Linked DNA regions of Macaca fascicularis. The protein of the gene in region 2 purifies or fractionates together with the protein of the main gene of each other region. This does not show direct contact. Links are inferred from orthologs where the notes say so. Each region holds a gene or a part of one and is shown on either strand. Other genes may lie near its edges.

Region 1 (4,086 bases), on a different chromosome or scaffold from region 2:
CGCCACCCCTACATGACTCCCCGGGCCCTGCGCAGGTCGCTCCCTCAGTCGGTCTCGGGGCCCGGGGGCCGGGTTCCCCCCGCGGCCTCCTCATCGGCTGGCCACCGAGTCCGCCATCTTCCCAGCAGCCCCCAGATAGCCGCCCGGACACCAATCCCGAAACAGCTATCGACCAGCGGAGACGTGGCTCCCGGCAGGCACTGCGAGCCAGGGAGCCGTGAGCTCCGCCCGCGGGAAGTGCGCGCGCGGCACCGGGGGCGGGGCCACGGAGGCCGGCGCCAAAGCCAGAGCAGAAGGCAGGGGAGAAGGGAAAGCGGTGGGCCAGAGCCGAGGGCGCCGTCCGTGCCCTTCTCTCCCAAGGGGCGAGGAGTCCCCGCCCGCCATCCCGCACACACTCAGACACACTGCAAGAGTGAAAACTTCACAGTTACTTTAATCTGCACAAGTTCCGGGGAACTCCTATGCCCCTCCCCTTCACCTGCCTCCCACCGTCCTGGCGTCCCCAACTCAGGCCAAGGAGCTGTCAGGGATTGGAGGCGGCTGGGTCCTCCGGCAGAACGCTAAGACGGGCCCCGGGGGCGGCCGGGCTCTGCCCGGGGCCGAGGCAGCGACAGCAGATGCCCGACCCCGAGGAGCCCACTCCCAGTGCGGACTGAGGGCCAGCAGCCCCGGGAGGTGGCCCCGAGCCCCGGTGGTCGCAGGGCGGGGCCTCTGCCAGCCCCTGGAGTCTTCTGCGGCGCAGGGCTGGGCTCCAGGGCAGCGGGAAGAGGCAGGCCGGAGAGACGGGCCTGGGCAGGCAGCAGCTCCCGCTGCGGCGCGGGGAGCAAGGTCCAGAGGGGCCGGCGACGCTGCCAAACGCCCGCGGAGGCACTACGGGCGGTACATGGCGAAGGCCAGGAGACTGAGGAGCAGGGTGAAGCCGGCCAGGCCCAGAGTGGCGGTCAGGGGAAAGAAGGGCCGGTACTGGATCTGGCAGTACCAGAGCAGCAGCAGCAGCAGGAGCAGCAGGGGCAGCAGCAGGCTGCCGATTTCCAGCCCGGAGGGGCCGGGCTCGGACCCCGGCGGGCAGGGGGGATTTGGGGGGCCGACCCTCGTGGACACGTGGCAGTGGAGAACGCAGTTGGGAGGGAGGTGAAGGCTGCCCAGGGTCTGGGTGTCGTCGCCTAGCAGCTGCCCTTGGTAGATGAGTCGCACCTGCTGTTCCCGGCCAGGAAACTGGGTCCTGAGGAGAGAGGGACCTGGGTAAGAGAGCAGGCCTCAGGCAATCCTAGTCCCTGGCCCCGGAACAACACTCCCACCCTTCCCCTGCCCTCCACAACACACCGGCCCTGGCCTGGGAGGGGCAGACTGCCAAGGGAACAAGTGCAGTTGTGATCTGGGGCGCTCAGCGCCTCCAGTATAAAGGAGGGCTGGGTCTTAGGTCTCTCCTGGGGCCTTCTGTGACCACTCCCCCCACCCCTGTCTTCAGCATTGCTCCTGCCTCTTGACCTACGTACCTTTTCAAGGAGCCAATGGTGTCGTGGGGCCAGGCCCTGGCCACCTGCTCTGAATCATTGAGGAATTTCAGCCGTAGCACGAGGGGCTCCTGCGGGGAGTCCGGGGCTGGTGGTGTTGCTGTGACCCCCGTGCTGGGCTCTGGCTGTGCAGCTTGACCTCTGTGTCTCAGGCTGGGGGTCTCTGCCCCTGGGACCTCCGCTCTCATGGTGTCGGTAGCTGCCATGGCTGCGCTGGGCTGGGATGGCGTTGGGGTCCCTGACGGCTGGGGCAGTGGGTCCCCGCCCTCAGCGGTGTGCGTTGAGACCCAGGCGAGGGCCAGCACCAGAAGGCAGGCAAGCACCGAGAAAAGGACGGTCACCTCATCACCCACCCCTTCAATCAGGGTCATGGCGCCTGCCTTGCCCGCCGCGCTACCGAGCTGGAGAGGCACAAAGAGCCCGTGAGGCGCGGGCCCTCTGACCAGGAGCCCTGGAACCTCCACAGGGTCCTGCCCCCACCCCACCGCGACGCTCCCACCGTCCTCAGCCTGGGTTCCCTCACCCACCCCAGGGTACGGGCTGCTTTGCCTCCCAGTCGCCCCAAACTTGCCTCCGGGTGCCCCTTCCCATCGCCGAATCCCAAGTCCTAACTTTCTGTCATCTGAGCTCGAGGTCTTCAACCAGCTCCCAACTCACCCAAACCCTATCCCAAGGTAAGGGCCTAAGCAACGCCTCCCCTAAACTTCACCCCAGCCAAACTTCACGCCCATGCGTATCTATTCTCCTGCCCACTTCACCCCAGTGTGTCTACTCCTTCACCGACTTCACCCCATGCTCATCTACTCCGTTGCTAAAGTTTCTCCGAGGTGGGGGTAGAGCCTCTGTGCCCCCACCCCCCGCCCCCCGCATTACGGTTCACCTAAACCCCACCCGCGGCACAGGACTGCTTCCCAGGCTTCCCCCACAGCAAACGTCAAACTCCGCCCCTGGGCAATCTGGAGCCTCCGAGCGTCACCACCCACCCAGCTCGGTCCCCTCAACCCCACTCCGCGGAGGCCCAACTCCACGCCTTCTCTGGAAGTGTCTCCAAGCCCCGCGGGCTGCCAGACCCCAGATCCCGCCCGGAATCCGAGACTTCACGTTCCCTACCCCCACCCCTCATCACCCCTCCCACCTTCCCGCCCCCCGGAGCCGCAGGAGGGCACGGCGATCCAGGGCAGGGCGGGCGGGGCCCGGCCGGGGCCCTGGGCGGCGGGGTGGGCGCGGTCATGGCGCGGGGACTCACCGCCCGGCTGCCCCAGCTCCATCGCGGCCCCTCGGACACTTCCGGGCGGGAGGCGCGGAGGTCGCAGGCACCTGAAGCACCCCTCCTTCCTCGCCGCCGCGGCCCGGGGCATTGTGGGACTTGTAGTCCGGCGCCGCTCTGTCTCCGCCCTCCGCCCTGCGGACCCACGTGCTGGGCTCCACCCGCGGTTCTCTGCTCCAGCAGATCGCGGAGGGGTCGGTGGGGACGGCTTTGGGGGGTTGCGCTACCGGCTAGAGGTTTGGGCGGCAGCAGGGTCCGCCCCCTCCCCCGCCAACAGCCAGAGCATCTGTCACACCAGACACCGACGTCAGCTGAAGCACGTCAGAACACCCGTGTTCGTGATGCAGTGAGGAAGGCTCTGAGGAACTCAGGTGGCCCCTACCCTTATGTCAGAGTGGACGCCAGAAGGCACTTTGGCCACCAAAATTAATTCTTCAGCCCAGAGCCCAATATCCATGGGCTGTCCCACTAGGCTGGCCAGGGATACCCATCCTCAGGGCTGCCCCTTTCCTTGGTCCCCTCCTCCACCTTGCTCTTTCAGGACTGTGGAAGAAGCATAGACCTTGGAACCTGGCACAAATCCTGATCCCTTATCCTGTGCTTCTCAGCTATATGACCTTGGGTGGGTTATTGAATCTCTCTAAAGATTAATTTCTTCCTTTCTGAAACATACGTCGTAAGTCAATCATAAGGAAGAAATTAGATGTTTTATTTAAAAGTGTGAAAACTAAGGTACATGTCACACAGTAGCTATTTGCTCACCTCCGCTCAAAGCTGGTCTCTGGAATCGGATCCTGGTGTGTTACTGTGTGGATGACATTGAATCCCAGGCCTGTGGATATCTGTGGATTTTTCCCTCTGGGCTCCTGTAGCCACAGAGATCTCACATCCTGGTTTTTACAGGCCAGTCTTGATTTAAAATAATCTATCCTAGTTTTCCCATAGTTCTTGCCTACTGTGGGAGCAAGTGGCCCAAATATTGCCTTAGGAATGTCAGTCTAGATTGATACCATACAGAACTAACCTATCTAGTTCCATCCCTCCTGTTCATTCATTTATTCTACTAACATATTTTTAAAAGATATACTATGGCCAGGCGCGGTGGCTTATGTCTGTAATCCTGGCACTTTGGGAGACCGAGGTAGGTGGATCACTGAGGTCAGGAGTTCGAGACCAGCCTGGCCAACATGGTAAAAGCCCATCTCTACTAAAAAAAAAAAAATACAAAAATTAGTTGGATGTGGTGGAGGGTGCCTGTAATTCCAGCTACTCAGGAGGCTGAGGCAGGAGAATCACTTGAACGTG
Region 2 (3,288 bases):
CCTAGTTTCTGCCTCCCTGCTTGGCAGCAGCCTTCTCTTTGCATCCAGAACTGCCTTGTCTAGGGTGCGCTGTAGGTGAGGAACCTGCTTAGGAGGGAGGCCTGTGCTCACAGCTGCCTCCTTGCTTGCTGCCCCATGTCCAGACCGAGCGTGTGCCACTGGACCTCAGTCCTCGCCTGGAGGAGACGCTGGACTTTGGCGAGGTGGAAGTGGAGCCCAGTGAGGTGGAAGACTTTGAGGCTCGTGGGAGCCGCTTCTCCAAGTCTGCTGATGAGAGACAGCGCATGCTGGTGCAGCGTAAGGACGAGCTCCTCCAGCAAGCTCGCAAGTGAGTCGCTTCTCCAGCCCCGCTTGGCATAATCCAGGTCAAAAACCAGTGGCTGAAGGCCGTTGGCAGGCCCACGTCTTCTCTTTTTAAACAGATGCCAACAGTGAAAAGCCATTACATGCCAACCTAAAACTCAGATTTCAAGCCTGTCTTGAAAAATCCAGAGCATCTGGTAACACTGGCCCCTACTGGTCTACCTCTGATGCTGGTACTCTCAGTTATCTCCTGTGCCCCTTTGGCCACGCTTGCCAAGGGAGCACTTGTGTGCCAACCTATTCTAAGCCCTTTATATGAATCATTTTCACAGCTCTAAGAGGGATCTCTGTTAACCCATTCGGCCGACACAGAGCTGAAGAAGTGGAGGCCGGAGAGGTTAGCCCTGGCCTGGCCCTGGCGTCTGCCTCCCAGGTGTCCTCCCTCTTGACCACTCTGCCTTTCAGCCGAGCATTATGAACACACATGGAGCATCTGTGCGTCAAACCCCCATGGTTGGTGGCAGCTGCGGCAGGTGTATCCTGTAGATAGAGGGGGTTTTGTTCCAGCTCTTGAGGACAGGGCCAGTACTGTGTTCATCGAGTGGGTTTGGGCCCTGGCAGACCCTGTGATTGTGAGGGTTCTGTGCTGTGTCTGTGGGTAGAGGGGAAGGGCACAGAGAGACAGCACGGAGCAGCACTGAAGGGTTCCTCCCTGGTGCAGAGAGAACTAGCTCCCATCTGTTGGGGGCTGGATGTCTTGGTCATGAGGTGGTGCTGAGTGACAGCTTCATGAAGGTGCCTGGACGTGGGGAGATGTGGAATCAGCCTTCTGGCTGTGTTCCACAGCAATCCATCTCTCCCATGAGACAGAAAAAACTTCTGTTTTTTTCTAGACGTTTCTTGAACAAAAGTTCTGAAGATGATGCGGCCTCAGAGAGCTTCCTTCCCTCGGAAGGTGCGTCCTCTGACCCGGTGACCCTGCGTCGAAGGATGCTGGCTGCCGCCGCGGAACGGAGGCTTCAGAAGCAGCAGACCTCCTAGCGCTCCCTTGCCTTCCTCAGCTGCCTCCTGCGCCCTGTGCCCAACCGACCGGAGGAGGCCTGTCCCAGTTCTGCCCGCTGTGTGGAGAAGCGGGCTTGACTGCATTGCCGCTGTATAAAGCATGTGGTCTTATAGTGTTTGGACAGCTGACAAATTTAATCCTTCTTTGTAATACTTTCTATGTGACATTTCTCTTCCCCTTAGAAACACTGCAAATTTTAACTCTAGGCATGATCTCTTCTGGTGTTGACTGGACTGCTTGGGGTAGGGGATGATCAGGAGGAAGTGAGCAGTCGCCTGCCTGCAGCAGGCAACTTCAATTCCTGCCTCGTGTGTACATCCCACAAATGCAGGTGTCCTGAGCACCACATCCAGTGGGAAGAGTGTCGGGGAGACGCACAGTGTGAGCCCGCCCCCACATCATGGGGTAACATCTGTTATCAAACCGCTGTCCTTGTTGTGGAAGCACGTAGACTGTGCCAGAGGCCAGGCCCACGGGCTCAGGCACCCCTGAGCCAGCAGGGCGTCTTGGAAAAATAACTCTTGGTTCAATACCTGGAGCAGAGGAGGGGAAACCCCAGGGCTGCAGGGTGTGACAAAATCACCCCTTTCTGTCCCACTGTATCTGGGACTTTCTGATCCCCCAGTCCAAAGCCGGCTTGATTTCCGCGAACTCTGGTGCTCCTGCATCTCATGAGTGTGCCCCATGGGTTCCCTCCCCTCTCAGCATTTCCTTGTCCCCTCTGGACCTGCGGAGTGGTTAAGCAGCAAGCTTTGGTTTATGGTTTTCATTCACTGGTCAAGTACATTAGGCAATGCTAAAGCCTGTGAGTTTGGTCCTTGAACAAGATGTGGGCCTTGCAAGATGGGAGAGTAAACCTCGAAGGGCTTTATTAAAGAAATAAAAGAGAACTTTTGTATCTTTCATCCTGGGAGCACTGCGTTTTCCTAGCTGTGTTCTTCCTGGTTTAATTCAGCAGAGAAGGTAAGGTGTGAACCTACATGCCTTGGAGCAGGCCCAGGTCCCAAATCTCTTCAAATTCTTCACATGTTTAACTTTAAGGATTTGAACCGTGCAGTCTTAGGTTGCAGACTTCAGTTTTATGCCCCACTGGATTACTTTTTTTTTTTTTGAACTGTTTGAAAGCTTTGTTTTGTGGTAGTCCTTTTGGGAAGAATCCAGTATTATCTACAATTATTGGCAAAGTTTAAATGTATTTTACATAACTGAAAGTTTTTAGAATGTTGAAAAGTAATTGAAAAACGTGATAGGTAAATTTTTAGGCAAAGATAATTTATTTCAATAAATCTTTCAAAAGCCTTACCTTGAAATGCTGTTAGTAAATTTCTGTGATTTTTTTAAAAAAAAATTTTGTTTTGCTGAGAGCATAGCTATTTGTTTTTATTGTAAAACAACAGTAATAATAATAAAAAGCAAACTCTACTGATGTGTGTGGCTGGAAGCTAAGGCATCTCTTTCCAGAGGTGCCAACGTTAAACCCCATTTTGATTTGGATTTTGTGTGTACTATTTTGGTTGGAGGGTTTTTCCCATGTTTTTGAATTGGGAACTTTTATTTTTCCTAGTAGTATATGTGGAGGAGGCAGAACTGCATTTTTCTTCCCCTTGTATTTATATCATTTTTTTTCAGGTAAGTGGGTAACAGAAGATTATTTTACTCTCCTCGAATTACGTTATGCTTTACACATTGCACCCACTATAGGTGCCACTAATTCCACATATTCACATGTTTCTGATGTGTGAGAAGACAAAATTATTTGGATCAATTTTAGAGGGTCTTGACACATTACAAAACAGCCAAACCACAGTGTTTAGAGCAGGGGCTTATTAAGTAGCTTAAAATGATCCAAGAAGTGAAGTCCTCAGTCTGTCCTCCATTTTACACCTGGATACTTAAGGATTTCACCACTTCCTGGGGGCATC
Region 3 (3,994 bases), on a different chromosome or scaffold from region 2:
GTTCTGGCTCTGTCACCCAGGCCGGAGTGCAGTGGCACAATCACGGATCACTGCAGCCTCAACCTCCCGGGTCCAAGCAATCCTCCCACCTCAGCCTCCCAAGTAGCCAGAACTACAGGTGCAGGCCACCATGCCTGGCTAATTTTCTTGTTGTTGTTATTTTTGTTTTTGTTTTTTGAGACAAAGTCTCACTCTCTCGCCCAGGTTGGAGTGCAGTGGTATGATGTTGGCTCACTACAACCTCGGCCTCCTAAGTTCAAGTGATCCTCTTAGCTCAGCCTCCCACGTAGCTGGGATTACAGATGTGCGCCATCGCTAACAACAAAAAATACACTTCCTTGATTAACTCCTTCCTTTTAATTCCCATCAGGACCTCTCTTCGGGCACTGGCTGATAAACTTCTACCGCCTCATCTTCTCTGCTAGACTTAAAGAGTTCCTGAAGGCAGAATAAATGTGGCTTGATCAGTATTTGCCGATTCAACGCAGAGGTGCCCAGGCCATCTTAGTGAGTTAAGCGAAGACCCGGCGATCGCGCTGGACAGGACCCAGAAGCCAGAGCGCCGGAACTTCCGGCCGGCTCCCGGCATCCGTCGGGCCCCGAGCCCGCGCTGCATGCTGGGACCTTCAGGTTGGAGCCCGCTGTAAGGCCGACCCACGGGCCGCCGCGCTCCCTCGCGATGCCGCCTAAGCCAGTCTCGCCCGTCCCCGCTTCTCCTCAGAGAAAATGCTGCCCTGCAGTACTTACCGGAGCGACCATGAGGGTCACGAATTCGAGCACACACAGGCTTCCCGCCACCTCCTTTAAACCGCCGCTGGCTTGCCAGCGACAGACGGCGCGGTTGGCTCCCCAAAATTCCGACTGATACGCGCCTCGGCGAGCGAAAGTAAACGCGGGATACTCTCGCGTTCCTGATTGGCTGGTTGGGGACACGTCAATTATGACAGAAAGGGGCCGGGCGGGAAAGTTAGCTGTGGCCGGCGGGGATTGGCAGAAGGAACCTGTACTTGGGGCGCTGGGGGGGGCGGTGGCCACGCAACTCGTGATTGGCGGATGTGCCTTCCTTAAGTCTCTACGGATTGGCGGCTGGCCGATTGCTTGGCGTTGATTGGGCAGCCGCGGGAACCCTAAAGCGGGCGCGGGGGAGGCCTTTGTCCCGCCCAGCCGCCGGGGCCTGCTGGCGGAAGGGGAAGTGAGGGGGGCAGGCGACGGTGGGGAAGATGGCGTACCAGAGCTTGCGGCTGGAGTACCTGCAGATCCCACCGGTCAGCCGCGCCTACACCACGGCCTGCGTCCTCACCACCGCCGCCGTGGTGAGCAGCTGCAGTGCCACCTTCTCATTATCTGGGCTGGATATGACTGGGTCTTCAGGAAACTGGGGTTTGGGCTTCGGGGAGGCCCAGAGGGGCTGGTCCCGGGGATGGTTGGAGACGTACAGGGATTACTCTGGGGTTCGAGTTGGCGCCGAGAATGCTTATCCAGTGACCTGAGAAGGGAGTGCTGCTTCATGGGGGGTCAGGTCAGTTTCTAAGAGATGAGGGCCGGACCTATACCGGGTTAGGGTTGCGGGAGCCTCCCACCCGAGAAATGTGTCCGAGAGCTCTGCCAATGGCCAGGTGGTACCGTGGTGACTAGTGAGAGGAAGGTCCGTTTTATGAAGAAACAGGAATGAGGAAAGCAAGGTGGAAACTGTCCAGAGGGGAGTGGCTTATAATAAAGAGGGTCTCTGGGTAACAAAGGGCTAGCTGGAGGTACCCAGCCCCAACGGTGGCAGGGTCTCGAGTCTCCGTTATTTCAAGTGAGTTTTGTTGTTTCACACGGCTGTTTCAGGTGGTGCCCATGTGGTGGGTAGATTCATAGCAGCTGTTTTTATTTGTCCTGTGTCTAAAATATCACCACCTGTCTGCCTCATTTCTTCATGTCAGCCTCAACTATTGCAACATAAACTTTTTTGTGTTAGGTATTGAGGATACAAAGAATTCTACCAATTCTAGAGAATTCTTTACCAACCTCTTCCTCTGGCCTAAGAAGAAAGGCTTAAAGAAAATCAGTAATTGACCGAGAGTTGGAAATTGCTAGACCTACTAATCCTTTGTTGTAAATGATGAAATTTTGTTTCTTGGTTGATTTGCTTTAAGAAGCTCTTTTTCTATTTCAGCAGTTGGAATTGATCACACCTTTTCAGTTGTACTTCAATCCTGAATTAATCTTTAAACACTTTCAAGTAAGTGGTTCATCACAATAGTGATTAATGCTTCAGTTTCTTCTTTTACTTACTGTTTAGTAGCAAATCCCGTTGTACACTATCCTAAAAAAGAACCCCATGGGGGACCTTTGATTATAAGTTGTCTTGTCAGGATGTAAAGCAGTGATTCTGCAGCCTGGTTGGACTTGAGAATCCCTTAGGGAACTTTGAAGAGATTCCCAAGCTCCTCAACAAGTACCAAATCAGAATTTGCAAGGGTAGGAATTAAAATCTGTGTTTCATTTTTAAAGTTCCCTGCATCGTTTTGATGTGTCCAGTTCCTGTATTCGGAAATCACTGGTTTAGACTTAATGTTGTAGTATGAGAGGAGAGTGACCAGCTAGCTGCTTAGGGGTTGTCTCTGCAGGGATGGCCTTATTTTGTCCATTCACCACCTAGGCACGCCCACCACCTTGGTGTTATCATGATGGTCCAGAAACTCAATTCTGTTAGTGCTTTTAAATTGTGATCTGTCTTCCAGTGATCAGATCATACTAACAAAATTCCAAACATCTAAAGCTATGTGGTGGTTTATTAGATTACAGTGGGAGATGGTCCTTTCCGGTGATTAAAATGTCAAAAGAGGCTGGGCGCAGTGGCTCACGCCTGTAATCCCAGCACTTTGGGAGGCTGAGGCAGGCAGATCACCTGAGGTCAGGAGTTCGAGACCAGCCTGGCCAACATGGTGAAGCCCTGTCTCTACTAAAAATACAAAAATTAGCCGGGCGTAATGACACATGCCTGTAATCCTAGCTACTGGGGAGGCTGAGGCAGGAGAATCACTTGAACCCGGGAGGCGGAGGTTGCAATGAGCCGAGATTATGCCAGCCTCTGAGACAAGAGCGAAACTCTGTCTCAAAATGCTAAAAGAAACATGGATTTTTCTGTTCCAAGATGATCTTACAGACCATAGTTGGAGTAGGGGAGAGACCCAAAAGCCAATAATTGTGCCTCTACACATGCTGTTCCCTCTGTCTCAAATGTGTTTCGTTCACTTTATACCCATTGAACTCTGGCTTGCCTTTCAAAACGCAGCTTTTGTGTAACCTTTATGTACTCATCCTCCTTTGTTTTAGAGCATCTCTCACCTTTACTTTGCAGTTATGTGTATGCTTGTCTCCTCACTAGGATGAGGACTCTAAAATCTGGGTAATTAATATGTAGAACTGAATTGTTTCAACTTTAATAGTTACCAATTCTCAAGAATTTAGTGATTTGTAAAGTAGTCTTGTCATCTCTTGTCACTGTGTTCCCACAATACTCACATGGAGCTGTAGTTCCATCCAAGTAAGTCTTGCTTCCTACTTGGCTTGCTTGGTTTTACTCTGCCTGGGGTTAAACTGTTAAACTCTTGATGACATTTGGAGTTAGGACTTTGAGATTTGCCATCAGTCTCCATCTACTCCTGCGGGTCCTTGGTCAGGACATTTAAAAGTTCAACTTTCAGCTGAGTAACTAGTGTTCAGCTAGTAGTTCAACTTTTAGCTGAATAACTAGTATCAGCTAGTTATTCAACTTTTAGTCTTTTAGTTTCCTATCTGTGAATTAACTTGCTTGTCTCACAGAATCACAACAGATAGTAGACATTTTAAAATGTTAAGCACTCTACCATTGTGAGTGGTTACTGTGGGTGTGGAGAGGTTGGGTAGGGAAGGGTGTATCAGGGTTTCCAACAAGAAAATGAGTGTTTGGCCGGGCGCGGTGGCTCACGCCTGTAATCCCAGCACTTTGGGAGGCTGAGGTGGGTGG
Region 4 (3,500 bases), on a different chromosome or scaffold from region 2:
GCTAACTTTAAAGTTCATACTAAAAAGCATACATTAGTTTGGAGGTAATAAGGAACTATCAAAGTTTTCAAGCAAGGGCATGACAGTCAGATTTACACTTTGGCCAGCAGTGTGAAGATGAACTGAGAGGCATAGAGATCAGAGGCAGGGAAAGCATAAGGCAATTACTGCAAAAGTTTAGCTAAGAGGTAAAGAGAGACTAAGCAAACTGAGGAACAGTAGAAATAAAAGAAGAAAGCAGCTGCAAAAGACCATTTTTTAAAAGGCAATTTTTTAAAGCTGTTAAAAAAGACACCAGGCTAGAAGGGAAAGGAGCAAATATTAACTGAGCTGGGCTTTATCTCAGGTAATTTACATAAATTAGCACTGAAGTCTCCTAAATTTGCATATCAGGAAACTAAGAACCAGAGAATTTTAGAAATGCCCCAAAAGGTACATACTAGACCATGTCAGAACCTGTTCTCTATCTATAAAAACATGCTGCTTTCTACTTCTGTCTTCAGATCCAAGAATTTGCTCCACTGGCCTTCCCATGTGGGATATTAGATGCAACTGGATTTCAAATCACAGCCGGGCGCGGCGGCTCATGCCTGTAATCCCAGCACTTTGGGAGACGGAGGCAGGTGGATCATTTGAGTCAGGAGTTCAAGACCATCCTGGCCAACATGGTGAAACCCTGTCTCTACTGAAAATACAAAAATTAGCCTGGTGTGGTGGCGCACACCTGTAGTCCCAGCTACTAGGGAGGCTGAGGCAGGAGAATTGCATGAACCCAAAAGGCAGAGGTCGCACTGAGCTGAGATCATGCCACTGCACTCCAGCACTCCAGCCTGGGTGTCAGAGCAAGACTCCATCTCAAAAAAGAAAAAAAATTAATGGACAGGCCATTAATAAATACTTAATACCTAAATCATTTGCTTGATCATTTCCCAAATGAATTATATCTAATAGTTTCCTATTTAATCTCTGGCTAAAGAATCATCAGTCCCTTCCCTTTTTCAATCAAAATCCATTCCATTGATTTGTGATCAAGGAAAGGAGATGAAAAAAAAGACAAGGAAAATGCTTAATATCTGAAAAATATAATCCAAATGCACTTGACAGTAATACACCTGGCTCTCTACTCTGAAATCTTTTCACTATTTGTGCCTGTACTGGTGATGTGAAATTTATTATGACCTTACATCCCAATATATTCTTTTTTAGGTCTGTATTATGTCTTCTCAAGTACAATTAAAACCCCTGAAGGCAAAGGCTCTAACTTCATCTTTTTAAATTGTTCTTGCCAAACACAATATTCTGTATATACTAGACATACCAGTTTTATTAACAAGCATGCATCTAAAACGGCATATCTTTCTTCACAGCTTCTAATTAAGTTTTTGATTACAACAGTATCTACCCACCCCATTTCTGTAGGTTTTCATCTTTTATCAAGAAAATGCTTTCCCCACACTGAAGGCTTTCACACTGCTTTGCAAATTACAGCAAATATCAACTAGAAAATACTTCTCTTTGATGGCAAATCAGTGTGGGCCAAGGAATTATCAGTTACAGATATCTAACACCTAAGGAAATTATCTCTCATCCTGACTGGATAAAATACTACTTTCCTATTCTAGAAATAACCAATGACCATCTTGCTCTTAGAAACACTAAGCTCAGGGAAAAGTAAGTTATACAGTTGCATAAAGTCACCTCTGTCCAGAACTTCTGACCTATTTTTGCCTCTATTCCCCAGAAATTTATTAATCAGTGATCAATGAAGTCATAAAACTTTCAAAGTACCCCTCTATTCCTCAAAGAATCTCTCAGCTATAAAGCCTCTGGCTATAACTATGAAAACCACAGATAGATGGGTAACATACCTGCATAAGGAGCCAACATATTAACCACTTCTATTCGGTCAATATAGATCATGACCCCACCACTAAAAACAAAGAAACAAAAGTGTGAACTACTAAAGGCAATCCATAAAATACAGTTATAGACCTGTGGAGAAGCTGATAATCAAACATATTATTATTCACTTAAACACAGAGAGAATTCACTTCCCTTTTCATAGCATTTCTGCCCCTCTATAGGTGTCAATGTCTTCTGTACACTTGTAATAGTCATTTAAAATAAGTAATTTAAAAAATACCTTGAACTTCACATTCTTCTTTTGATACAATTCAATGCAGTGATTATACCCTAGAAATAATTTGGACCCTGCTTGCCTTTCTTTCCCTAAACCTCTTTAGGACAGCAATTCTCAAAGTGAGGTCTTCAGACCAGTAGTATCAGCATCACACAGGAACTTTTATAGTTAGAAATGAAAATTCTCAGGCCTCACTCCAGACCTACTGAATCAGAAACTCTAAATTAGATGGCATTTAACACTACACATGAGAAGAAGGTGGGATGATTAATTTTAAACTATGTTTTATTAAGCATCTATTCTGGGCCAAGTACTGGTTAGGCATTTTCATATACAGTAATTCTAATCCTTACAATAACTCTGCAAGGTCGATTTTACTGCCTTTTATAAATGAGGAAACTAAGCTTTAAAGTGTCAATAAAGGAATCTGTTGGGGAAAGAGGTATATAGAAACTGTCTGTACTTTTTGCTCAATTTCACTATGAACCTAAAACTGCTGTAAAAAATAAAGTCTTTAAAAAATAGTCAATAAAGCAGATGCAGCAGTGCTAATACAGTTAGGTCTACTTGCTCTAAAACTCCAGTTTTTTTCAATAATACCCTAACGGTTCTTAAGATGGAAAAGCTCCTATTTGGAGACAGGCCTTTGCTCAAACAATGCTCAAATCAGAAATCCCCTTGGGTTCACTATCATGCCTATTTGAGAGATGTCTAAGTGATCATAGGTGTAGGAACAGAAACTCCATCTGAACTAAAGGGAGGCTGGTAGGCAAAGAGAAAGCTTACCTTGTTCCACAAGGCACATTTTTAACTTCATCAGTTTGTAGTGTCGTCTAGGGAGGAAAAGATATCTCATCAACATTCAAGAAACACATTGTCAAAAAACTACTGGTGCCAGAGGCAAATCTCTGGAGAGCTGCTGACAGTAAGTACAGCAGAGTTCCATCACAATTTCAGTTCCCAAAGATTAGCTTTCAGAATAGTCATTTCTTTCTGTATTCTAGTAGAAATGAAAGACTTGAGACAGAAAATATTTTACAACAATTTTTTTTCTTTTTTTTTTTGAGACAGAGTCTTACTTTGTCACCCAGACTGGAGTGCAGTGGTATAATCTTGGCTCACTGCAACCTCTGCCTCCTGGGTTCAAGCGATTCTTGTGCCTCAGCCTCCCAAGTAGCTGGAATTACAGGCATGCACCATCACGCTCAGCTAATTTTTGTATTTTTAGTAAAGACGACGTTTCACCATGTTGGTCAGGCTGGTCTCAAACTCCTGGCCTCAAATGATCCACCCACCTTGGCCTCCCAAAGTGCTGGGATTACAGGAGTGAGCCACGGTGCCCAGCCTACAGCGAATGTTT
Region 5 (3,500 bases), on a different chromosome or scaffold from region 2:
TTGGTGCATCCTTTTGTTTTTGTAATATTAAACTCAGTTGAAATTATACTCTGACAGTTTCTCTCTTTCTGCCTCTTCCCTCTACAGAGTCAGGACCTGCTCAACTGGTTGAAACAAGATTTCATGGTGTCACCCATGAGAGAGGACTCAATGCCAAGGCCTGAGGTTATAGGGTGTTTACAGCAGTGGCAATACTCAGGGGTCATCGCCAACTGGTCTTGAGTTCCAAAGCTCTGATGGAGAAACAAGACTCCTTGATGTGTTACTGATCCCACTGATTCCAGGAGTCAAGATTAGCCAGGAAGCCAAATACCAGGAGTTGGGGTGGCACATCACCAGTCCAGAGCCCTGCCACGGATGTAGGCAGGAGCCCAGAATTAGGCGATCAGGAGCCAGAACATGATCACCAGGGCCACAAATAGGAAGAGGCGTGACAGGAACTGCTCATCCACATACTGGGGTGTGCCAGGGACAGCTGGAGAGACAGGAGGGAGAAAACAGGCTGTCAGAACACTGCAGCTATGCACACTACCCACTCAGGCCAGAAGTTGACAGCATTAATCTTTTATGTCTTTACAACATCAGAATCCTACACACAAAAGATTTCTTTTTTTTTTTTTTTTTTTTTTTTTTTTTGAGACGGAGTCTCACGCTGTTGCCCAGGCTGGAGTGCAGTGGCGCGATCTCGGCTCACTGCAAGCTCCGCCTCCTGGGTTCACGCCATTCTCCTGCCTCAGCCTCCTGAGTAGCTAGGACTACAGGCGCCCGCCACCGCGCCCGGTTAATTTTTTGTATTTTTAGTAGAGACGGGGTTTCACTGTGGTCTCGATCTCCTGACCTTGTGATCCGCCCGCCTCAGCCTCCCAAAGTGCTGGGATTACAGGCTTGAGCCACCGCGCCCGGCCTCTTTTTTTTTTTTTTGAAACGGAGTCTTGACCTGTCATCCAGGCTGGAGTGCAGTGGCACGATGTCAGCTCACTGCAACCTCCACTTCCCAGGTTCAAGCGATTTTCCTGCCTCAGTCTCCTAAGTAGCTCGGATTACAGGCATGCGCTACCATGCCTGGCTCATTTTCGTATTTTTAGTAGAGACGGGGTTTCACCATGTTGGTCAGGCTGGTCTTGAACTCTTGACCTTGTGATCCGCCCGCCTCTGCCACCAAAAGTGCTGGGATTATAGGCATGAGCCATTGTGCCCAGCCTTTTTTTTTCTTTTTGAGATGGAGTTTTGCTCTTGTTGCCCAAACTGGAGTGCAATGGCGCAATCTCGGCTCACTGCAACCTCTGCCTCCTGGGTTCAAGCCATTCTCTTGCCTCAGCCTCCTGAGTAGCTGGGATTACAGGTGCATGCCACCACACCCAGCTAATTTTTTTTTTTTTTTTTTTTTTTAATTTTTAGTAGAAACAGGGTTTCACCATGTTAGCCAGGCCGGTCTTGAACTCCTGACCTCAGGTGATCCGCCTGCCTCAGCCTCCCAAAGTGTTGGGATTACAGGTGTGAGCCACTGTGCCCAGCCAAAAAAAATTTCTAAACCCCAAATAATATCAGGCAAAATGAAACTATGTGCAACAATAACAATAAGGACAAGACATGGTTCAATTTATCATAAAAGGTTTGGCCTGCACATGCAAATAAACCAGCTGATTAACAGAAAACTCTTGCAGGAAATAATGAAAGCAAGCCTACTGTTTGTTAAGTATATTCTATCTGCTAAGTGTTTTGTACATGTTATTATTTGGTGGATATTATTATTTCCATTTTGAATAGGAAGCAGCTGAAACATAGGTTTGAGGTGACCTGTTCAACATCGAAAGGCTCAGAAGTCAGTGGCAGAGCTCTGCAGTCTCTCCACACACTGCCTCTCAAGGGCCCCACAGGGATTGCTCACAGGGATTGCCTTCCTTTTCCAGAAGAGAACTAGTATCCAGACAGGCAAAATGACTTGTCTTTCAAGTTAGTGGCAGACGAACTGGGGTGAGAACCTAAGTCTCCACTCCTCTCTGCTTTGAGAAAAGCTACCATTTAGAGCTCCCTGTCCTGACTTTGGGGGAAGGAGGATAAAATAATCTGTATCCAGGATGGTCAAATTGTACCAAGCATGACAAGGGAAAACTGTGACTGTGGCAGGAGAAAAAAGTGATCCAGAGTCTAGCCTGGCTGTGGAACTCTACTTAGCTGGGGAATCCAAGGTTAGCCTTGGACCAGGTTAGAAGCATGCAAGCTATCAGGCAGGTTCTTGTTGGCTTCACAGGGATATGCCCTTTCTTCAGGGCAGAGTACTCCCTATCTTTTGGGGTATCCTTCCTCTGAAAAAAAAATGTGAACAGAGGATAAACCTTCAAGGCAGATAAGGTAAGAAAGGGCATTCCCTAGATATCTTGGTGCTGAGATTCCTCAGTTGGATGCTCTAATGGATTCACGAAGACAGGCAGGCAGACAGTCAAGAAAGACTTACAGATCACCTGCTGTGTACCAAGGACCAGGGTGGGGATGAGAATAACTGGGATGACCCAATTACTGTCTTTAGGGCATAAGCTCTTGGCGTGAACCACACAATGGTCACTTCTGTACCATATGCTGTGTCCAGTGTACATGAAGCTCCGAGTGCAGGCAGAGCTCAACCGATCATGGCATCTCTGCAGGCTCCACAGTAAGGATTTTGGCTCGGGTGTCAGACTGTGATAGAGTTCAGGGCACCCACCTCATTGCCTCGCTCTATACTGAATGCAGATGGCACTTTCAAGCAGTAGGAGGGAGAAATGCAGCAGCAGTTGGTGGACCTAGGCATGGTTCCCACAGGGCTGAGGCTGCTTGTGACCAGCCTCATGTTGTGTCCTGAAGGAAGCTGGACAGAGATGCCAGAGAATGGATATGCCCTCACTCCTGATGAGTCATCGCACATTTCCATGTCCCCAGATGGTCAAAGTGGGGAGTAAATGTGCAGAACTAGGCTTTTCCTTAGCTGAGTACCACTTGTAGTTTTTCATTTTATAGACATGGGGTATGTCTTGGTAACATTACTGAGCATTTTCTGACCTGTTAAACAGAGCTAATCACACACTTGTTCCATAGGGTGGTTGTGATGATCCCCTGAGCTTGGAATGGAAAGTGCTATATATATGCCTAATAGTTGGTAAGGGCTCAACATTGTTACCGTGTCTATAAGTGATCTGAAAACAGCTTAAGACATTTTGAAAAGGCTGATTATCCATGTAGTGACAATTATCTGTAACTTATATACTGCTGAATTCCAAGGAGCTTTCAAGCAATATTACTAAGATATCTTCCTAATTTCTCAAGGAAATAGGCTCTTACCTGGAGGAGGCCGCCCATCGTTTATATTAAATGCTGTGGCAAATATCCCAAAGGGAAATGCCCCAATTCCAAAAGACATCTGGAAGCCACCATCTCCAAATCCAAATCCTTGAAATCCCTGTGTGGAAGAAAGGCAATTAAGGGCAGGAGAATTGGGCAGGTTTCTCCTGTGCCTGTTAAAACTC
Region 6 (4,097 bases), on a different chromosome or scaffold from region 2:
TGGCAAAAATGAAGGCAGGAATGAATGTTTGTGGGGGGGAGTGGGGTGCTGGCCTGCGGGGTTGGATGCTGAGACACAAGGGTCACTGGGTCCCAGGGCTCTTGAGAACCCTGCAATTGTTTCACCTTGGTCTAGTATGAAAGAAATACACATTTTAGGTTCAACTGAGAAACAGGAAACACAGTTTTCATCAAACATTCAGAAAAAAAAGTTCAGTTTTCAATTTATTAATCATGTTCTAATTTTGGAGTTTTGAAAAACAGACCCCCCCCCAAATTAACTTTACTTCACTATAGCTTAATTTTGCCTTTTAAGGTTAAAAACTAAATAGGTAAAAAACATACTATGATATTTTACTTATGCTCTTGGCTGATGGTTTAAAAAAAAAAGGTAGAGTATGAGAGTATGAGAAATTGTCCAGATATTCCTAGAAACCCTTGAGGCTTCAATTACAAATACTGAAGGCTAAACTATTTCATTTCTAAGATCAAGTTTTTGGTTAAAGGAAAGAAACTATTCTGCCAAATGTATATGAAATATGGAATTTTAAATCTAGATATATGTCTCAAAAATTTTTCAATTAGTACAGCCACATAAAGTGTTTCAAAAAACAAAAGAGGTTCCCCTCCCTCCGAGAACAAAGATGAAAACATTCTACCCACTACTTAATAATTACAGACATATGTCCTAGTTCTTGAACACACAGCCCTCTGTTAATCTGTTACAAAACTCTGCTGCTTGCTGTTTGCAGTGAGTCAACTGAGGCAATGTGTTTCCACAGTGCAGGAGACACACCTACAGAGGCAGCGGGAGCTGTTAGCATGGATGGCTTGGCCCCTTTCTACCTGCGCACGCTTGGATGTGACTTCACCTGTGATTCGGTTTCCACATCTATAAATGAAGCTACACATGGTATTGCTGTAAGGAATGAACACAGCAAAGCATCTGAAGCCTATGGTCAGCAGTCGGCTGACAAATGTCAGCCACAAAGCAAACAGGATGCCCCCTGCACTGCACTGGAGTCACTTACTCATTTGTTTTCCCCACCAGACTGTAAGCTGCTTAAGGATAGGGGCTTGTGGTGCTACTTTTGGATTAACATTTCAACAGCTTGTAGAGTTGAGGTTGTAGAAAGCACCTGACAAAACCTCGTTAAAGAAACAAATGCTGTGTGACTACAGCAGCAGTAAGGGATTTGCTGGGCCAAGATCAACTCAACATTTCTATAAAAGAGGTTCAATGATAGCCAAGAAATTCTAGTAAAGACACTCAGCAGTCCCCCTGTCCACAGTTCAGACTGACCTAGTGTTACACTGTAAGGCATCTATGCTACTGCCTGGGTGTACGAAAATCTAAACGTCGTAAGGGGGTTACTCTTTTCCTTAAGAACGTAATCTACAGAGCGCTAACAGTTCAGGGAGTAAACGTTTTGGCTTCCGACCACGGTTTACTCAGCGACCCGGCAAAAGGAAGTACTGAGAAGTTGCTCCCCTGGCAACCGCCTCCTGAACACATGTGACGGGTTTGTTTTCAGTTATCCAGCAGGGTAGCATGTTTGCTGCCGCGACCAATGGCCTTTCAGTCCCGCTGCTCACCAGTTCCCCAGGCGGCCAATCCGGGGCGGCTGGCGCGGGATGACAGCTGGGGCTGTACCCGGACGCCAGGAGGGAAGGGCCCTCAGTCAGCTTGGCACAGCACCTGCTTGAACAGCCAATTATCTCCCTGCCTCATCTCCATCACTGTGCTTCCTCAAACTTCAGAGAGCTGTGGCCCGAACCCGCCCTGGGGGGTGCCAGGTCCTCTCTACCCCTCCTTCATTTCTCTAAATCCCCAAACTGGAGATGCACACTTTCAATCTGTGGACAGTTCTAGTTTCAAATGCATGTTTCTCAATAGGCTGAAAAGTACTTTCAACCGAAAAGACACCCTTTTTACTTCCAGAAGAACCGCGGGGGGGGGTACTCACCAGCTGCTGTCCCGCAGCAGGGAGGGACCCACCAGGCGGAGGAAAAGATGGTAGCGATCACCTCCTCGGGGAAGAGAGTGACATTCCTCTGGATCTGCAGCAGGTTGAGCACCAGGGCTAGGACCACCCCAACCGAGAAGAGCACGAGGCTCCTCTGCACCAGGCGATGATGCCAGGTGTTGGGGTAGGGGCCGCCGGGCTCCGGGCTGCTCATCGCAGCACTGCGGCCCCCGGGCGCGGGGTCAGCGTCCGGGGCACCATGGGCCGCCAGCAGGGAGGGCCCGGACACGGAAGCGCTGATCATCTCCCCAACCTTGGCTGCCAGCCCCGCGGCGCTGGCTCGCGGGGGGCCTCGGCGCCTCACGCTGTGCGCACAGGAGCAACTCCAGAAGTGGTCGTGCAATCTGGGCATCGGTCACCCGCGTCCGAGAGGCGCTTCCTGGAAGAAGGGGGTCATCAAGTTCACTCAGAAGAGACAAAGAGCGAGGAAGGCCCCGCGGGACGCGAACCCCGGCACCGGGGCCAGGCGGCAGCGCAGCCCCCACCAGGTTAGAACCCGGTGCACTCGCCCAGGGCCAGCGGCGGACGGGACCCGCGCTCACATCAAGCAGCACCCCCGGCCCCAGCGGGACCAGCGTCCCAGAGACCCAACGGGGCCCGCGCCCGCCTACCTCCGGGGAGGACCGGCTGCAGCGCGACCAAACCCCGCCCGCGACCCCTGCCCCAGCCCGCCGCGTACCTGGCCGAGAGGCGCCAGCCCTCGGGCTCTGCGAGCGGAGGCGGGGCTGTGGGGAAGGAGGAGTCGCGGCCCGGGACGGCCCCAAGTGCGGCCGCGGCGCCTGGCGGGCACGCGGGCTTATATGGCGGGCCGCGGGGCCCGCATCACGTGACCCTGCCCGGCCTACCCACCGCCCGCGCGCACCGCCTAGGGGCGTGGCCTGAGCTCGCCCCGCCCCGCCCGCGCGCCCGTCCACAAGCGGTCTGGTGAGGCGGCGGCAACCAATGGGAGGCGGGCGGCCCATATGACGTGCGCACACGCCACCGCCGGCCCGCGCGCGCTCGGGCGGGAGCCGCGGCACGGACGGCGGGGCGCGTGGCGGCTGCGGGGCACGCGGGCCCGAGCGGGACGGGCCAGCTGCGAGGGGACGGCCGCGGAGTTGGGGCCTGGGAGGGGACGGTCTGGCCGGGAGGAGGCGGAGGGAGGACAGGGTGGGGTTGCGGGCCCGGCGCCGCCCCTCCCGGCTCCTGGCTCCCCTCGCCTGGTGTCCCGCGCCTGACCCGGAGGCGACGGGTCTCGAACGCGCAGGCCTCCCTGGCGGAGCGCGGGCTCTGGCGCGGGGCCGGACCCTGCTCAGAGCAATGGCGGGCTTGCATCGGTGGGTCATTTCCTCGGGCCCCTAGTGGCCTTTGCTCACGCCAGGAGAGCAAACCACCCGCACAGCCCAGAAGCAGATAAAATCGAGACCACAGTCCCCAAAGGATCGCGCCTCCATCCTGTTTGCCCCTCGGGTCGCCGTCTAAGGGCGGGCCCGTGCCCGCTCAGAGCCTACATCCGAGTCGTATAAAGCGCTGACAGCGGAGAAAGCAACGGCTTTGCTCCGTGCAGATGAGCAGGGGCTAAGGGAGGACGCTGTGCTCTCTCTCAGTAGCCGCGCTCGGCCCGGGGGCCCTGCAGTCTTGGAAACGTGAGTCAGGCCTGCAGCGTGGCGAGGAAACGCCGCTGATGTGGCATCCTCAGCCTGGGGTTGTGGCTCTAAGCCAGAAGGTTAAAAAAAAGACGTTTTCTTGAGCTGGGACTGCCCTGAGTCCCTTTAGGGGCGAAATTCTGAGCATCCGATTGCGTTTCCTGAGGATGACACGCGTGGTGGGCGTGGACGGCCTGCAGGGGTCCGTCCTCAGCGGTTCCTCTGCAGGGCAGTCTCGTCCTCAGGGGTCTCATCCTCAAGGGTCTCGTCCTCAGCGGTCCCTCTGCGGGGCAGAGTCTCGCTGTCACCTTCCCAGCTGACTCCTCTCAAGCCCTGTTAACCATTGTACATATTCCCAAGGACTCCAAGCAGGTTGGACTTCAGGGAACATTGCAGTTTGGGTCTTGGCCATTGTTTACCCTCCACCTTGCATTAAGTGCTTGAGG
Region 7 (3,500 bases), on a different chromosome or scaffold from region 2:
TGGTGAGACCATCCTATGAAAGTGGAGGAGTCTGACAGCAGTACAAACAGCCATAAAGGCCCGTGCCACTTCACAGGCGCCTGGTGGGAATGCACGCTCCAGCAGGGCAGGGATTTGGGTCTGTCTCATTCCCTGAGGCCTGGGTGCAAGCTGGTAGATCCCATGATGTTCCAAGTATCTGGGGTGGGGAAAGACACCGTGCGGAGTTTACGGCAAGGCAGGAAAGGAGAACCATAATGTGGGTCCATAGGGTCCTGGAGCGAGGGTGTGCGCACGCAGCCAAGAATCCCACTTGTATAAACTACTGCTGCACCACGAAGTGCCTGTCCATAGGCCGTAACGTGAGCATGTGGTCAGCAGTGGAGACCCACCACGTTACCAAGCCAGGCGGGCCGACAGAAACCCGTCACCAGATGGACATGGGCATCTGGGCTCAGCATGAGTGGGGCTGCAGGGCATGGGTGAGCTGCAGAAGCAGACATGCCAGACCACCCTGGCAGCCACCTCTGCTGCACCACAGCCTCTTCCCAGCTAACACCGACTGCCACAGCGGTTGGGCCCCTCATGACCAAGTGACAGAGGGGAAAACAGCCAAATGGATAGGCTGGCTCAGGACATGAGTGGCAGCTGGAGGAAACGGCTGCATGATGGCTCGATCTTGAAAGACAATGATCAGGGGAACCCCTATGGGCAGAGCCCGGGCAGCACATTTGGTCACCAACTCTGAGTGGAAAGAGAAGTGGCCTGAGGCAATCACACGTGTGGATCTGCTGGGCATGGCAGATCACCTGGTTGGCCGGTCAGGGGACTGGAAGGAAGGGCACAAGGAGGACCCAGCTAGAGGAACAGCAGCATCAAGTGTTTTGCAGGTAGTGCCCACCACGGGCATCCACCACCGAAAAGGCACCAAGTGGAAGGTGGGCAGAATGGCCGTGGCTCCATCGCCAGATAACCCAGTGCTGGCACACGAATGGACGGCCACAGTGGCGGCACAGAGGAATGTGCGGTCCCCTCACCCAGACCGACCTATCTCCTGCCACTATGGAGCATCCAACCTGGCACCCACAGAGACTGCATGCACCGGATAACCACCGTCCGCAAGCAGAACAGTCACGCAGCACCGAGACGATGCTGGGCCCTTTCCACCCTGCAGCGTTATGGAACACACTGTCCCCCACCCCTTGCCCCTGCCCCATATTCACACACTGAAGCCTTAATCCTGCGATGTGACTGTATGCTGACAGTGTTCGCTCTTAAACTCCTTGTATAAAAATCTTCCTGAGGAGGCCAATCTGAGAAATGCAGCTTCTCTGGTTTGCTTATGAGTACAAATTCAAAGCTCTCCAATGGAGAATCTCCTCCCAGGACTCCCAAGGTATCTCAGACAACATATTTCCCCCAAATCTGCTCTTTTGATATTGGTGAAATGGAACTATCAGTCCTCTATCTTCAAGATTATCTAGGCCAGAAACATCAGAACACCCCCTCATAAGCTCTTTGCCTCTACCTTTATACTCAATCACTACTCAGTTTTTCTGACCTTGATCATTCTGAGTTCTCATACCTTTCGCTCTTCTCTGTTTCCTTGTAGGATTTACCTCCTGCTAAATACAAGGCTTCATCTGTAGCCTGTGTTCACCTTGGATGTAGTTCTTCTCTTACAGAACTTACTAGTTCTTTGCTTTCGGCTCTCAGCTCTCACCCCTACAGAGGTGACTCCATCGCCTACATATATATGTAGCTTCCACATCTCCAAGACAGAGATGTCCATCCTCCAGCTTTAAATACATCATGAGCATCTTTATGGCATGTTCCAGAGTCACTCAAATTCAAGCACATCTTTAAGAAACAACTTCTGCTTCTCTCTTTCTCTTGTAGACTCTGCACCTGATAAGGTGCCCCCTTCCTCCCATCCCAATATAAACTCTGGGACCTGCATCTCCAATGAGACTCTAAGGACCTCAAACCTGATTTCACTTCTCCAAACCATCGTGAGATCTGCAGACCTACTTCTTGCATCTAATGCTAGTGGGAGACAGAGAGATGGCAGAGGTAAGTATGGTTTACAACTACCCCAGGGGTAAAGAAGGTAGAGGCGAAAAATGGGGAGCCCTGTAGGCTGGCTCACAGAAGTGTCCTAGAAAGATCAGGCCTGAGGTTTTAGCCTGATGTGCACTAACCCTCCTTCCTTCGCTGCCCATGGAAGACAAGTGTGGTATCAGATTGTTTGGATGCAGTATTTGTAGACAAATGTGCAATAGTTTCTGATTATTGATAGCAAGGTTGAGAAAACACAGCATTTTTTAAATCTACTCCTTGGTTGTTCCATTGAAAATCTTATTACCTTCATATTCTCTTCATTTCAATTAAGGAAAATCAAGAAGTTTTACATTTGTTCTTCACTCCATGGCATATGATTAGCATTTTAACAGGAAGACACTGTGGCTTTTACAAGATTATAAAAACAGATAAATAGCACATCTTGTTAACTAGGTTGGTGTTTCTCTAAGAAGTCATGCTTATCTAATATAGGTGGAAAAAGAATGTCCAGTTTGACCAATCTTTCAGCTACAATTTATTTTTTACCTTCTTAAAAAACTAAGAATCGCCACTAACAGAGACCTACATTCTCTTTGGAAATGTCAAAATCCGCTTGCAAGGCACTGGAATAAAATGTAGTCTCTATCTCACATGCAATCACAGAGGAAAGATTTGCTGGGGCCACTGAGAATTTCTAAATTTTTAGTGATTATTATCACTTTTACCTGCTGCTGTCTCTGTCGCCTCCCTTGTGCAAACTGAGAGAACATCAGCTGCCGGTCCAGCAGCTCCATCCTCTGCTGTCTCTGGATGTCTAGCGTGGCTCCCATCCCAATTCTGGCTTCGCTGGTGGGTTCTGAAGAAGAGAAGATGGGTTCAAGTGTCCAAGAAAAGAATTTTGCCATCCAGCTGGGGATGCAGAGCACCTGATGCACCTGGAACATTTTGCTGTTGTAGCACAGACCGGACATCTAAAAGAAAAACGTCCAATGTGATTGATTAAATGTAGTATCATTTTAAAAAATGTACATGACACAAAAATCAGCAGCCTCCAAACACTGCACATAGTGTTCTTCTTAGTCACAGCGTGTTAGGCAATAAGCAAAATCCTCTACCACAGAACACTAAGCAGTACAAATCAACACAAAACTGAATTTACTCAGTAAAACAAAATTGTTTTTTATTGAATTAGAAGAGCTAGCAAAATTCTAATCATTTAGTATACAAAGTTCAGGTAAAAGATTGTCAAGACACTGTCTTCATTTTTTAAAAAGGAGTAAGAGATCTGATTATTGAAACACTTTCACACTGTACTGACTCTGTGGTTACCTTTGTTGGCAGATGGCCATCGCAGAGACACCAGCAGAAAACAACTGCCATGTCTCAGCTGACCCAGTCACACGATCAATTTATCAGAGAATAAACACAATCTAAAATCTTGGTTTTTATTTACATAGTGT

What was found.
Region 1: the proteins of AMFR (region 2) and TMUB1 purify together in Homo sapiens (affinity purification with mass spectrometry; 3 studies listed by BioGRID and IntAct, with this or other methods). This does not show direct contact. The link is inferred for Macaca fascicularis from reciprocal best matches to the Homo sapiens genes AMFR and TMUB1.
Region 3: the proteins of AMFR (region 2) and DERL2 purify together in Homo sapiens (affinity purification with western blotting; 4 studies listed by BioGRID and IntAct, with this or other methods). This does not show direct contact. The link is inferred for Macaca fascicularis from reciprocal best matches to the Homo sapiens genes AMFR and DERL2.
Region 4: the proteins of AMFR (region 2) and ERLIN1 purify together in Homo sapiens (affinity purification with mass spectrometry; 3 studies listed by BioGRID and IntAct, with this or other methods). This does not show direct contact. The link is inferred for Macaca fascicularis from reciprocal best matches to the Homo sapiens genes AMFR and ERLIN1.
Region 5: the proteins of AMFR (region 2) and RNF185 purify together in Homo sapiens (affinity purification with mass spectrometry; 3 studies listed by BioGRID and IntAct, with this or other methods). This does not show direct contact. The link is inferred for Macaca fascicularis from reciprocal best matches to the Homo sapiens genes AMFR and RNF185.
Region 6: the proteins of AMFR (region 2) and INSIG1 purify together in Homo sapiens (affinity purification with western blotting; 6 studies listed by BioGRID and IntAct, with this or other methods). This does not show direct contact. The link is inferred for Macaca fascicularis from reciprocal best matches to the Homo sapiens genes AMFR and INSIG1.
Region 7: the proteins of AMFR (region 2) and UBAC2 purify together in Homo sapiens (affinity purification with western blotting; 4 studies listed by BioGRID and IntAct, with this or other methods). This does not show direct contact. The link is inferred for Macaca fascicularis from reciprocal best matches to the Homo sapiens genes AMFR and UBAC2.

What each region holds. Positions count from the first base shown.
Region 1 is NC_088377.1:192,360,959-192,365,044, forward strand, and holds TMUB1 (transmembrane and ubiquitin-like domain-containing protein 1), read right to left. Parts: upstream 2,801-4,086; 5' UTR 2,746-2,800; coding exon 2,650-2,745; intron 2,599-2,649; exon of another isoform or gene 2,498-2,598; intron 1,916-2,497; coding exon 1,497-1,915; intron 1,223-1,496; coding exon 871-1,222; 3' UTR 414-870; downstream 1-413. Other genes in the region: FASTK (fas-activated serine/threonine kinase), read right to left, coding at 13-94. UniProt on the Homo sapiens protein: Involved in sterol-regulated ubiquitination and degradation of HMG-CoA reductase HMGCR. Involved in positive regulation of AMPA-selective glutamate receptor GRIA2 recycling to the cell surface.
Region 2 is NC_088394.1:52,429,156-52,432,443, reverse strand, and holds the end of AMFR (E3 ubiquitin-protein ligase AMFR), read left to right. Parts: intron 1-143; coding exon 144-328; intron 329-1,196; coding exon 1,197-1,344; 3' UTR 1,345-2,788; downstream 2,789-3,288. UniProt on the Homo sapiens protein: E3 ubiquitin-protein ligase that mediates the polyubiquitination of lysine and cysteine residues on target proteins, such as CD3D, CYP3A4, CFTR, INSIG1, SOAT2/ACAT2 and APOB for proteasomal degradation.
Region 3 is NC_088390.1:5,551,372-5,555,365, reverse strand, and holds the start of DERL2 (derlin-2), read left to right. Parts: upstream 1-1,194; 5' UTR 1,195-1,220; coding exon 1,221-1,313; intron 1,314-2,158; coding exon 2,159-2,224; intron 2,225-3,994.
Region 4 is NC_088383.1:109,123,676-109,127,175, forward strand, and holds part of ERLIN1 (erlin-1), read right to left. Parts: intron 2,974-3,500; coding exon 2,927-2,973; intron 1,931-2,926; coding exon 1,869-1,930; intron 1-1,868. UniProt on the Homo sapiens protein: Component of the ERLIN1/ERLIN2 complex which mediates the endoplasmic reticulum-associated degradation (ERAD) of inositol 1,4,5-trisphosphate receptors (IP3Rs).
Region 5 is NC_088384.1:20,440,521-20,444,020, forward strand, and holds part of RNF185 (E3 ubiquitin-protein ligase RNF185), read right to left. Parts: intron 3,434-3,500; coding exon 3,316-3,433; intron 476-3,315; coding exon 378-475; 3' UTR 1-377. UniProt on the Homo sapiens protein: E3 ubiquitin-protein ligase that regulates selective mitochondrial autophagy by mediating 'Lys-63'-linked polyubiquitination of BNIP1.
Region 6 is NC_088377.1:196,592,645-196,596,741, reverse strand, and holds the start of INSIG1 (insulin-induced gene 1 protein), read right to left. Parts: upstream 2,801-4,097; 5' UTR 2,638-2,800; intron 2,406-2,637; 5' UTR 2,379-2,405; coding exon 1,967-2,378; intron 1-1,966. UniProt on the Homo sapiens protein: Oxysterol-binding protein that mediates feedback control of cholesterol synthesis by controlling both endoplasmic reticulum to Golgi transport of SCAP and degradation of HMGCR.
Region 7 is NC_088391.1:90,250,186-90,253,685, reverse strand, and holds part of UBAC2 (ubiquitin-associated domain-containing protein 2), read right to left. Parts: intron 3,012-3,500; coding exon 2,766-3,011; intron 1-2,765. UniProt on the Homo sapiens protein: Restricts trafficking of FAF2 from the endoplasmic reticulum to lipid droplets.